2 linked regions of the Arabidopsis thaliana genome follow. The protein of the gene in region 2 purifies or fractionates together with the protein of the main gene of each other region. This does not show direct contact. Each region holds a gene or a part of one and is shown on either strand. Other genes may lie near its edges.

What was found.
Region 1: the proteins of AT1G33810 (region 2) and AT1G16790 fractionate together in Arabidopsis thaliana (co-fractionation; one large-scale study listed by BioGRID). This does not show direct contact.

What each region holds. Positions count from the first base shown.
Region 1 is NC_003070.9:5,740,989-5,746,770, forward strand, and holds AT1G16790 (ribosomal protein-like protein), read left to right. Parts: upstream 1-3,346; 5' UTR 3,347-3,649; coding exon 3,650-4,084; 3' UTR 4,085-4,271; downstream 4,272-5,782. Other genes in the region: VHP2;2 (Inorganic H pyrophosphatase family protein), read right to left, coding at 1-138, 322-509, 684-804, 900-1,072, 1,447-1,579, 1,649-1,796, 1,882-2,033, 2,138-2,341 and 1 more; AT1G16800 (P-loop containing nucleoside triphosphate hydrolases superfamily protein), read right to left, coding at 4,535-4,557, 4,671-5,719.
Region 2 is NC_003070.9:12,261,294-12,268,249, reverse strand, and holds AT1G33810 (zinc finger/BTB domain protein), read right to left. Parts: upstream 3,309-6,956; 5' UTR 3,167-3,308; coding exon 2,939-3,166; intron 1,960-2,938; coding exon 1,845-1,959; intron 1,669-1,844; coding exon 1,595-1,668; 3' UTR 1,330-1,594; downstream 1-1,329. Other genes in the region: AT1G33811 (GDSL-like Lipase/Acylhydrolase superfamily protein), read right to left, coding at 1-98, 184-332; GXMT1 (glucuronoxylan 4-O-methyltransferase-like protein (DUF579)), read right to left, coding at 5,794-6,296, 6,380-6,770.

The DNA of each region.
Region 1 (5,782 bases), 6.5 Mb from region 2:
AGGCTCATACTTATAGTCAGTATAATATCTGGATATCCAGACAAAGACATAGGCTGTGATAATGCCAACTAAGCCACACATGAAGAAATTCAACCAAGCAGATGGAGCTTGTTCTGTGTATAGCAGCCAGCGAGTCGACTACAAAACAGGGGCAATGGTGTCAGTGAATTCCATTGAAATTACAGCACTATCAAGAGCTTCACTTGCTTAGATGGGCCCTTATGTGCATGTAAAGTCAACTATCGATAAAACTGACAATATAACATCAAAAAGCTACTGCTCGACAACCACATAATGAACAAAAATAATCAATGACATTACCGCGCCAAATGTCAAAACAGCTAATATAATAGTCAGCGAATATCCTTTCTGAAGAACAACCATTGGATCCTCTACTGGAGATTTCACACTAGCATTGCGAGTTCCTTTGATCGATAGAATACCAATTGATGATATTACCAAGTCAAACGAGTGAACAACTAGAGGAAATAAAATAAAACCAGATGGATCTGCATGATACACGAAAAAGTTGAGTAAGAAATAAAAAAATCATGAAGCAAAAAGAAAGGTAACTCTAAAACCCTTTCTGCTAGTTTGACCACAGTATAACTAGCCTTGCAATTTTATTGCTAAAAATACCAACAGTACAACTCTTTAAAATAAAATCAAGATGCCTCGCAAACCTTCAATTTTGCACTTCTGAGCCATTGTACCCCCAAGTATCATTGCACTGATGATTTCTGCAGCTATACTTTCAAATAAATCAGCACCTCGAGCAGCGCAGTCCCCAACATTGTCTCCAACCTGCAAGAAGATGAGAGTGAAGCTTCAGTGATGACAAAAGGTTCCAGGCCCGACAAAATCATACACAAAGGATCGTGAAATGAAAGAACTAATACCAAATCAGCTATAACTGCAGGGTTCCGAGGGTCATCCTCAGGAATACCGTGCTCAACTTTCCCGACCAGATCTGCCCCGACATCAGCTCCCTTAGTATATATTCCACCACCCAACTGAGCAAATAAGGCAACAAATGATGCACCAAAACCATATCCCACAAGAAGAAGAGGCACTGTAAGAAAAATGGGAAAGTCAAATCATTAAGCTAAAAAGTAACACTAGTACATGCAAATGCAATTTCGGGTTTGCAAACGTTAAACATTTGAGAACAACATCAAAAAAGTTTGCATTCCGGTTCTACAGATGAAGACTCGACCCATGCTGTTGCTTCTTTAGCAAATAGCCATTTCTTGAAATTCAGCAAAACGGATTCCTCAAACCCATATATGTACCAACTTGGTATAAGAAGATACTGTTTGTGATTAAATTTGAATCTCTGAAAATAAACATGAACTCAGCGCACTGATGCATAGAATATAGCTGGTTACTATAGAATGGCCAAACATAAAAGGAAAGATATCCAGAGAACAGGAAGCTATGACTTACGATCAGTAACCTTCATTGAGCCAGGTGAATCCACGTCCAACCATACATAAAATGTAGAATACAGGATGGCAATACCAATCACAGCCATACCAACAACAACCAGAGCTGAGAATCCACCAGCACGAACAGCTATCTGCATTAAATCCATCACTTAGTATTTGGCCATGTGTACAGGAATTCCTATTAATACTAAAAAACAAACCTGCAATGCTTCCCTTGCGGATCGTCTAGCAGCACTGGAAACCCGTACATTAGCACGAACTGACACCCACATTCCAACATATCCAGCAATACCTGAACATAGCGCACCCAAAAGAAATGCAGCAACAGTAATGTATGCAGACATTGTCCTGAAGCACAAAGTTATACATTTGAGTTTTATTTATAACAACACAAAAGATAAAAGAAAAGATTCTGTAGAAGATGTATGATCACCTTCCTAAACCAGAAGCCTCTTGCTGGGGGGTTAAGTTACGGAACAAGTATATGCAAAGGATCACAAAAGCTAGCAAGAACGCCATTTTGGATATAGTACCATACTGCGTTCTTAAAAATCCTTCAGCTCCATCACGTATAGCATCTGATATCTAAACAGAAAAGAATAAGCTCATAGCACAGAACTGAAAATGCAACTGAGTAACAAAGAAGACACAATCACGAATAGAACAAATTAAAACTTGTGTGAAATTACCTGAACCATTTCTGGAGGTCCTTCATCTTTGGCTAATACCCACTTGGTCAGGTATACTGACAACATGAAACTGATGATGCATACTACAAAGACGAACACAATGATGGGAGAAGTACGTGCTCCCATGTAAAAGATCCCTCCAAAGCTCAAAAGCAGAAGTACAGAAAGGGCACGAACATTTAAATTTCTCAGAATGCGGATTATCTGCACAAAACAACTCATTATAAAGATACCAAAAGAAATAGAAATAAAACCAGATATAACACCAATACATATTTGTATAAATATGACGGTGTTTAGATGCAAGAAAGATATGCTCGAGAGAGAAGGGTATTATGTCCTAACCAATGGACTGTAAGTTTTACTACGCATATCCGGGAAGGTCCTTGGCTTGTCACTGTAAGAAACCAGAGTGGCCTGCTCAACATCTTCATCCATCATCATGTTTTGTAACGAATTTGCCCTCCGAACAAGGGGAAGAGGTATAAAACCCGTGCTACGGGGCAGCTCAGCCCCAGAACTTGGACGCTGAATCTTGATACGCTACAAAAGACCCTCCAAAGGTTTACCACAGCATAACAAGAGAACTAATCGTAACCCACAAAGTCTGACTATATCTTGATCAGCTTCTTCACACTTTCTCACTCGGTATTGACTCCGAGAGAAACACCTCCCATATATAGTTTTCAGCATAAGAGAAGATTCTGAAATAAAACTGACAAGAATTAAGCCCCGGAAAATTTCTCTGTATTAATCGGACACCATGAAATTCTACTGTAAGATTTAGCTAGACTTATCGAACACCAACATTTTGTAGATAAACCAATCAGATCTAAATTCTCACTATCATGATCTAAACGAAAACGAAAACGTAAACGACAGAGAATTAGCGAAATTGTAGGCAAAATAACAGATACGAATAATATTTGTTTCCGAAATGCGAGTAAGAAAACCCCTAAATCGGCGAAACAGTGAAGACAAATTACAGTTTCAGAGAATGGTCAGAAGAAAACCGCCATCAACTCGAAGCTTGTCGTCCTAGCCGAAGAAGCGTTCTCCACTCTCTCTGTCTGTTGTCACCGTAAATCCTAACACTTCAGAGGTTAGTTTACACTCTTTTGTTAATTTATTTCTCATGCCGGGTTAATTGGACAATCCTGACTAATGAGTTTTTGACACGTCATCACAAGGAGCATTTTTTCTTAATAAGCCCCACTTAATAATATAGATTTTAATAATTTCCTCCTAAGTATTGTTTTTAGGCGCATTAGGCAATATTGTTGTTATGCTATCATTTTACCATATTAAAGGAGATTACTAGTTTCACAGTATTCGTGGGCCCAAGCCCAACAGACAGTCCATGAAGAAAAATTACCCAAAGTTGATTTTTAAAATATAAATAAAATCAAATAATTATCTTCCGTCTCATCTTCCAACCCAGGAGCTGTACTTTAGAAAATTTCCCAGATAAGAGATTCAAATTCTGTACTTGTATACCCGGCGGAGCAGAAGATGAAGCAACCGGCGACACCAAACGCGGCGGAGGAAACCAAATCAGAACAAAAGCAGAAATCGAAGAAATTCCCAACTCCGACGGAACTAATCTCTCACTACCAGAAACGAGGGCTGGAACCAGCAGAAGCTTCAATAAAGGTCATCGAAGATTTACAAAACGCGCTCGTCCGAGTAGTTTCGTCCTCCAGAAACGCCTCGAGCAAGGATAAGCTTGTAACCGACGCGAGGAAAATCGACGCCATTAACGGGAGGCTTGCCGTCGTCGACGCGAAGCTGGAGACGAAACCTGGATACGTTGAGACTTTCGCGTTAGGGTTAGCTTCTGGTGCGACACTTAACGGAATTAGCGCCGTTTGGCCTCACGTTACCAGAGGCATTGGTCAAATTTGGTCCGCCGTTAGGATCGGGACGGATCCTTCATCTACCTCTTGAATTGTTAGAAAGGAAAATTCTAGGTTGATATGGTTTCTTATGAGTTTTTTTCCGGTGTTGTATTTAGTGAAATTTGAGTATCAGCGACTTCAATCTTTGTACTGTTGAACAATAATCTCATTAGAAAATTATCCCAATTAATTTTGCTCTAAAACAAAGAAAAGACAATTTGTTAAACAGTTTTTATCATAATGGCATGATAATATATACACAGCAAAATAAAATTTCATAGCAGGCAACTTTCAACAAAATATTGCAATTTGAGTTGCCAACACTAAGTTAGCCAAAATTTTCTCCTAGTGCTAGTTTCAGAGTTAGAACATGAGAGAACCTATGATGAATGACGCCAGAGGAAACTATAAAACTTACCCATGAAACCGGAAATTAACAACTGGTTCACGATTGTGGGAAATAACCTTTGTGAAATCAGTTGTTTGTTTGTTATCTTTGTTAACTGTTGTTCTTGGTTGACTCTGCAAATAAGAAGAGTGTAAGTGAAATTCAACATTAAGACATACTAATTTACAATTGCATATCAGCTTCTGAGGAAGAACATAAAGAGGTTCGATATGTAATGAAATCTTACCTTTGATCGCCTTAGGTGGTCTTGTATGACTGCCGGCGGTTGAACCTGGGGACAATGGTCGCTTTGGAGGTTTAGGCTTATGTGAAGGAATCAGAGACGAATTGAGAATGGCAGCAACAGCTTCACGCTGCTGCTTTCGTTTGGATATCATATCTTCAACACCTCCTTGATTAGAAGCATTGCCCTTGTTTATTTGCCTATCTTGCTGTCCAATTTTATCTGTGGGATTTGCCCTCTTGCTACTGTCAAGCTTTGATGAAGCCTTCTTAGATTTCTTCCATTCATTTGAATTTTCGTTCTTCGAACTATTTGCATCTGTAATCTCTGGATTACTGCTTTTCTCTCTGCCTTTCATTTTTTCTTTCTTTTCATGGCTCCGTCTCAGAGTCTCTTCGGATGTTACTTTCTCACAGCTTGCAACTAGTTTTTCCCTTTGAGATGAAGCTTCTTCTTTCGCATTTCGTCTGGTGTGCTTACTCTCTGATCCTTTTGATGAGATAGGCACAACATCTCCATCAGTTTTCCTCAGTTTTCTATCAGAAGATGTCTCTGCTCTCTGTTCTTTGCGGCGTGAATGCTGTTTATCAGGCTTAGGAAAATTCTTTGGAAGATTCTCAGAATGGTTTTGTTCCATCACATTCTCACCAAACATGTAGTTGTACGGTCGCTTAACTGGTATGATGACTTCTCTTTCTTTTGCATCTTTCACAAGAGCACCCCAGTTATGGTCTCTTTGCAAGGTTCGTGTGTTACCCAAAACCCAAAGGGAGAGTTTGGCTCTAGTGAGAGCAACATTCATGCGTCTAACATCTGCAACAAAACCAATCCGACTTTGATTGACCCCATCAGGAGCCGAATGTGTAGCTCTTACAGTGGATAATACTAATATGTCAACTTCTTTGCCTTGAAAGCCATCCACAGTATTCATTTCCATATCTGCTGTTACTTGAGCCCCAAATGCACCAGTGAAACGCGAACGCAAAACGGCAAGCTGACGCTTGTAAGGGGTTATAATGCCAATCCTTCCAGCAACAAATTCTGAGGGGTACCTGTAAGCATCAAGATAGCAAGTGAGTAAAATAATATCATATAACTCTCTAAAACATGTGTGA
Region 2 (6,956 bases):
CATCAACGTAGGTGCGACCGTTGGTGAACCGTCCCGTTGTACCTTGGGGAAAGTCAATGCCATAAGGTCGGTAATTAGCCCTCGCAAGAGAAAGCAACCTACACATAATAATACAAATTACTATGAATTTGTGTAACACATAAAAAATCATATTAATACAGAGAAAAGAATGCAAGGTTAAACCTATTGTTGTTTCCATTGTCGACTAAAGAGTCACCGAAGATGAATAAACATGGGACTTGTGCCTGTTGTTGTGGCTGTGACACGGTCGTTTTAAAACCAAACAAAACCAGATTCAAACTAATCAACAATACAAAACGGAGAATGCCCATTAAGTTATAATTTAGTGAAATAATTGTAATGGTTTTTAAGAAGAATGAGATTGAAAATTGATTTGAGTGGAGTTCATAGTTATATAATGAGGAAATGTAGTTGGTTGGTTTGGTTCGGTATGTTATAATTGGTTTCATGTGTTGATAATTTTGTGACAGTTGGTTTTTCTATTTTAATTCTCTATCTTTCTCTCTCTTACCAAACTTCTTTTTAGCTGCGGCTATATTCACAAGTGTCTCATGCATGCAGTCTCGTGAGGGTCTCAGAGTCTAATGTGTTGCTTTCCAGTTGTTTGTGTCACAAGTCACAAAGGCTATTTTTGTAACAGTTGGAACAGTACTCGAGGACAGTAAAAACTATTCTAGGCAAAAACTAAGATACGTATGTAATTGTTATTAATTGTAAAGTTTCAAGTTTTAGAATTCCAAAACTTTCCCACACTGGAAAAATAGTATTTTTATTCATATCTGCAATTGTGGAAGATTATGATCGAGCATTTTTTTTTACTGCTTTCTTGGTGATATGAAGCAATTAAATGTAAACTAGATGTTTGCCACTAAGAAGGACCCAATTTTTTGGTGATGTGAAGTCCTCGCATAAGCCTAGTTATCGAGTAGATATAGCATACTCCGAACTCATATGTATAGTAGTAAAACATAGATATGAGTAGAAGTTAAGAAACATATAACTAATCACCAATTACTCTACTTCTTTGTACAACTATAAAAACTGAACTAGCATTTCACAAAATTTCTTTAGTTCCATCCCAAGATCATTATCCTAGACAAAGACATAGCATTTTTTATTTTATTTTCTGAAGAAAACATAGTATTTTTCTTGGCTCTTAGTTTTTAGCTTTAAAAATTGTCGTGTAAAATCACAATATTACATACTTACAAGAACAGAAAAATTGTTCTCCAACTAATAAGTTCTAAATACCACATTACTTTTTCATACCTAGAAGAGGTTAAAGAGAATGGCAACTAAGATTTAAAGGTTGGTTTGGTGTAAGAGCGTGAACTCTCATCCAGAGTTAACAGATGTATCTTTAAACAGGTGAGGCATCACATATGGAACCAAGTTTGGGTTTGAATCAAAGTAAGTAGTTTATGTTGATGGAAACAGGGAAGCCTAGTGCTAAAATGGAACTTGGAAATTTCATTGTACTTAGGAAAATTCATACAAAACATCTCTTTGAGGACATATTTTAATCAATCTAACAGTGCTGGGTCCATTCACAAGATTGAAATATGGTCATATTTCAACGAACACGGCGAGCTTTCTCTTCCTGCCCCAACCCTAGAGACTTCTGTGCATTTGCAATGCCTTCAGGATCTGCATTAACCATATCAACCGTTAAAACCGCATACCAAGACAATAAATCAAGGGTCATTGAGGAGTATAAGGTTTTAAAACACTGAGGATGTCATCACAACTTTTACCGTACGACAAGAAAACATTTGACTATATAATCCGTTGCATTAACAAGGTATTCGAAAAATAATGCTCACCAAAGAATTGAGTGAAAATGCGGGTGAAGAAGCTCAAGTTGCGAGAGACATTGAATGCCATTGAAGGAGGAAGAGGCTTCACCAAAGTGTCTATAGTGAATACACTTTGCAGGAACTGTAATAGAGAAGCAGACTTTACAGCTTAGGAAAAGCGTTTTAACAATATAAAAATATAAACACATGTTACAATCTATCGAAAGGAAATCAATGGTATTCAAAAATCGCTTGTATGTGAACACTTTGTGAATGCATAAAACATGTTTCTGTGTAAAGACGGTTCGAGATGCATGCAATGTGTCATGATTCAAGTTGTTCCATACCCAAGGATTATAACAACATGACTATATAACAAAGCAGAGGCTATAAAGTACCTCCTTAACCAAGATACTAAATCACTAAGTAGTCTATGGCCAATGTGACCATGAACAATAGTAGAGGAATTTACATAACTGACTAACCAACTATTCATACGATTTCCAGAACTAATAAATATACTATAGTCGAAGGGGAAGTAGGTCTACATCGAACTACACAGAGTGTTTACAGGAAAGTATACCACCCAATAACGAAACCAATACATGTGAAAATACAAAGATCCCTTTAAACCAGTTTTACAGTTACGGTATAGTTCTTTAACAAATGTGAATCTGCTATCTGAGATTCTATCCAATGTGCAAAAGGCTCAAGATTTCGAATTTGAATGATGTATAGACACCAAGCAAGTGTATCAACCATTGCAGAATTTTCCAATTCATTCAAAACTAAAACTGGATACAATGTGTTAAAAATCAAAGCTTTATGTAACAGAGAGAGCTAAAAATCCATTCTTTGCAGCTAAAATTACTTCTTCTCAAGCTTCACATAAGCTTTCAATATCTTAAGACACAGAACAGTACCAAAGTGGTGCAGAAACATAAAAGATAAAATCTTTTTCACATTTCTCCAATACCCAATAATCTAAAGATGTGTGAACAAATGACAGAAGAAAGATTGCCACAATTTACTAGTAATTTCACAATTTCCTAAGAACAGAGCAGAGAGGAGCAAATTCACTATATGAAACCTAGAATTACAGTAATGAGAGAAGGGTAGACCTGATAGTTGCGATTGAAGCTGTAACGAAGCTGAGGATCAATCTCAAGTGAATCATCATCATCATCAGCGAGACTTCCTTTTTTGGTTCCGCGGCTAGGGACGTGCATCTTCGACATACCATCAGAATCCTTTGTGACTTTAAGCTTTGCGTTGCTAAACTTATCGGAATCATCTTCGTCGTCGCCTCTCCACGGTGCTTTTGATAACAGTTCCTTCTTCTTCGCCATTGTTAGCCAATCCTGAGTTCTTCGTGTGTGGGGTTGGTTTATATGTGAGATAAGACCTTAAAGATGCTGTTTGGTTGCAGAGTTAAACTTGTTACTAAACAAGATATGAGTTTAGGCATAAAGTAAACAAACAAGCCCAAATTGAAAAAGCCTGATTAGTGATTTATCAAATGTCATGTTTGGTTATCGAGTGAGATGTATTACCAAACGGGATATCAATTTCTGCATAATACTAACTAGGATCACCCCGTGGGCCGTGGGCCCGTGGTAATTATTTGATATTTTATGAATTTAATTGTGTATTAAAATGTTTCTTTTTTTTAATACCAGAAATTCTGGACAGAAATCCGTAATCTCGTAAGCGAAATTTAGAGGTCGTTGGTTCGAGTGACGCTTGAGACAAAACTAATATTATATGCTATCTATTAATTTTTTTTTATATTGTGAATCGATTTTTTAGTTAATAATGGACAAATAAATTTAAGCTTGTATTTCTTCTGTTTAGTGTCAAGCTTGTATAATCGTTAATTTTAAGATTTCATCCGTGTTATACCGTCTCGTATTCAAATCAACCCATCTCAGCACTCCTCGTAAAACTAAATATTATTTTATTATTATTTTTTAATAATATTTTAATTTAAAAGTTTACTTTCAAAATTTTTAAAAATTTACTTTCAAACATTATTTTCTCACAATTTTAGAGTTTACCTAGGCGTTGTGGTAACTAGTAATGAGGGCCACAACAGAACGACATGTGATATCGCATATAGGTGCTGTTCGTTTGATCAGTTAGGTAGTGCATCTGGGTGATCCATCCAGAAGATCCATTCAGATGCATCATTTGGATGATGTTCAATCCTGAAGTTGGTAGTGCATTTGGATGAATCATCTGAATGCAGATGTGTTCGTTTGAATTATTTTTTAATTATGTACATCTGCATCTGAATGCATAGTGTATCAAATGACTAAAAAAGACATATATTTATCTTAGTCTTATTTTTATGATGTAAATGTATTATTCTTTTATTAAAATTAGGAAAACACTAAAAAAAATTGTAAGAAAATATGGTACTAAATTAAAAATTTACAAATTAGTTTTGTTCAAAAATATTCATTAATTAAAGTTAAAAGAAGGCACATAAAAAAACAATGAGGAATATAAAACAGAAATACATCATTGTAAACACAATATTTTTTTGTCTACAATAACCACTAATATAAAAGTCGATATCTTCTAACTATCTTTTCGGTGATAGAATCACGTACATCTTTCATCACTCTATCACCAACCGGTACGTACAGTACATGATCTGTGTTTGGAACATTGTCTTCTACTTCATCATTCTCTACTACTTCATCATCATGATGTTCATATTCTTCCACTGCTTCTCAATGTACAAAATCTGCATCCTCTTGACATGAATCTCTGATAACATTATGGAGAGTCATAGTTGTTGTCACAAGTTTCACCCACTTTTTCAACTCATATTAAGGGTGTTTGCGATCCAATATCCTCCACTTAGCCTTCCAGACTCCAAATGTTCGCTCAATTATCGAACGCAAATCAGAGTGCTTGCGGTTAAACAATTCTCTAGTATTAAACCCCGAAATATATTACAAGTAAGAATCAAAAATAAAGAGAGAGATATGTATACCTAGAACCGAGCTAGCGCTAATGGAAAAGAAGATCGAGAGCTAACGCTAATGGAGAAGCAGATCGAAGAGTGAGAGATAAAGGGAAGTGAAGAATCCTAAAGATCTCTTTTTCTTCTTTGTCCAGAATTGTCGAGAACCGTAGGGTAAGAAATGGCTTTTTGTAGTTCTTCAATTTTTAAAGGTGTATTTTAGTCATTTGCTGTTTTTGACTGCAGCTGATGCATCTCAATGCACCGATCAAACTCAGCTGAAATTTTTGAATTTTTTGGATGAGTTTAATAAACTCAGCTAACTGATGCATCCAACTGTTCTACCAAATTGTGTCCAAACAAACATCAGTTGTCATCTGCACCTAGATGAATCAGTCAACTGATCAAACGAACAATACCTTAATCAATTGAGTTTTTCAATCGAAAGATTCTCTATGTTTTGTTGTTGAATTTTATCAAAACTTCTGTTTTGTTATCCTTTTTGTATCTTGGAGCACAAGCACTAGTACTGTATATAGTAGACATGATATTCTGAACCGAACCGAGATTTAAACAAATCGGTTCGATCTGAACATGAGTTTTTTTTTTCATTTTTTTTTCATTTTTTTTTCCTTTAGACTGAGTCCGTTACTCATTTAGCCTCATATTTTGGCTTTGATTTACCTTTAAACACCCTAATTTGACAAATTCTACCAATGACCTTATGACCAATTATCAGTTCAGATAAATTCCTTATTTGTATTCATTAATCAAAAGGGATAATGAAATCACAAATAATCATGCGAATACTAGTATGTATCGATTTCAGTAAATGCACTAAAATCTTGAAAAACGTATTTAAATCAAGCAAAAACAAAACAAAACAAATACAAAATGCCAGCTAAGCAAGTCCTTCAATGTCCACTAGGTAAAACAATTTACCAGCCCTGAGTCCGTTGACCGACCAACGACGGTGAACTAAATAAATCTCCCACCACAAAATTAACGGCGGCGATCAACTTCCACCGGACAAAAAGGTCGTCCAGCACGAGCCCGATGACTAGGAATAGTAAAATGTCTAAGTCTCCCATTTTGCTCCCTCATATAACCTTTACACAAGAAAGTCGCCGAGAACTCATCTTCCACCGGACGGTTAACGTCGTGAACAAAAACGTCAGTTTCACCATCTTCACGGTTACGAGCCAAAAGCCCCGCCGTGTAAATAGCACTCATCCTCCCCGGAGCTTCTTCATGGTAACCAGTTGGTGCATCAACCATGATCAGATCCCATTTCGTCTCGTAAAAGTCCGCCGGGAAATCTTTCAACGCAAGATCACATTTGGAGTTTCTCGGATCAGACACAGATCTACACTCTTCTGATCTTCCTAGTTCCATCAGCTTGTCTGAATCTTTGACTTTTGTGTCGTAAACTACGTGGTAAGATTCTAAGTTTGGGAACTTCTTAGTTACTATCGCAATCCAAGCTTGGTCTTCTTCAATAAACACTGAAATTTAAAAACTTCCTTAATGAGAAATCAGAAAGTTTTCATTAGATCTGTTGAAACAGAGGAAAAAACAGAGTACTTACAGGTACGACCACCATGGTTAAGAGATGCCCACATTAAACTGTCGTGACCTAAGCCAAAGACAAGGAAGTTACAAGGAGACTTCTTGTCCAAGACTCTCTTTGAGACAGAGACTTCATCAAATGTTTGTTGTGGAGTGACGTTACTAGTGACGTAATGAACCAATGCATCGGATAAAGAAAGTGGCATCTTTGTGCATTGTTGTGTTGTTGGACATCCTTCTTGTTTATGCTGAGTTTCTTCTTCTTCTTGGGAGAGATTTGTTTTGGAGATTGGCTTTGAAGAGGAAGAAGAGATGTTTGATCTTGCTAAGTAGATGATGATCAAGATCAAGATTGAGGAACCTATGAATATGACCTTGAGATTAAGAGAAGATGGAGATTTGGTCCTCATTTTTTCTGACTAAAGAATCGATTTTTCGATTTGGGTTTTTGGATCTATGAATGAGGAAGATGTTTTGATAATGATGAGAAGTGTATATAATATAGAGAGGTTATGGCTTAATCATTGAGGAAGTTGAGGAGGACATGAAAGCTACTAAGGTTGCTGTTCTTCCAATACAACAGAAGTTGGTGATGA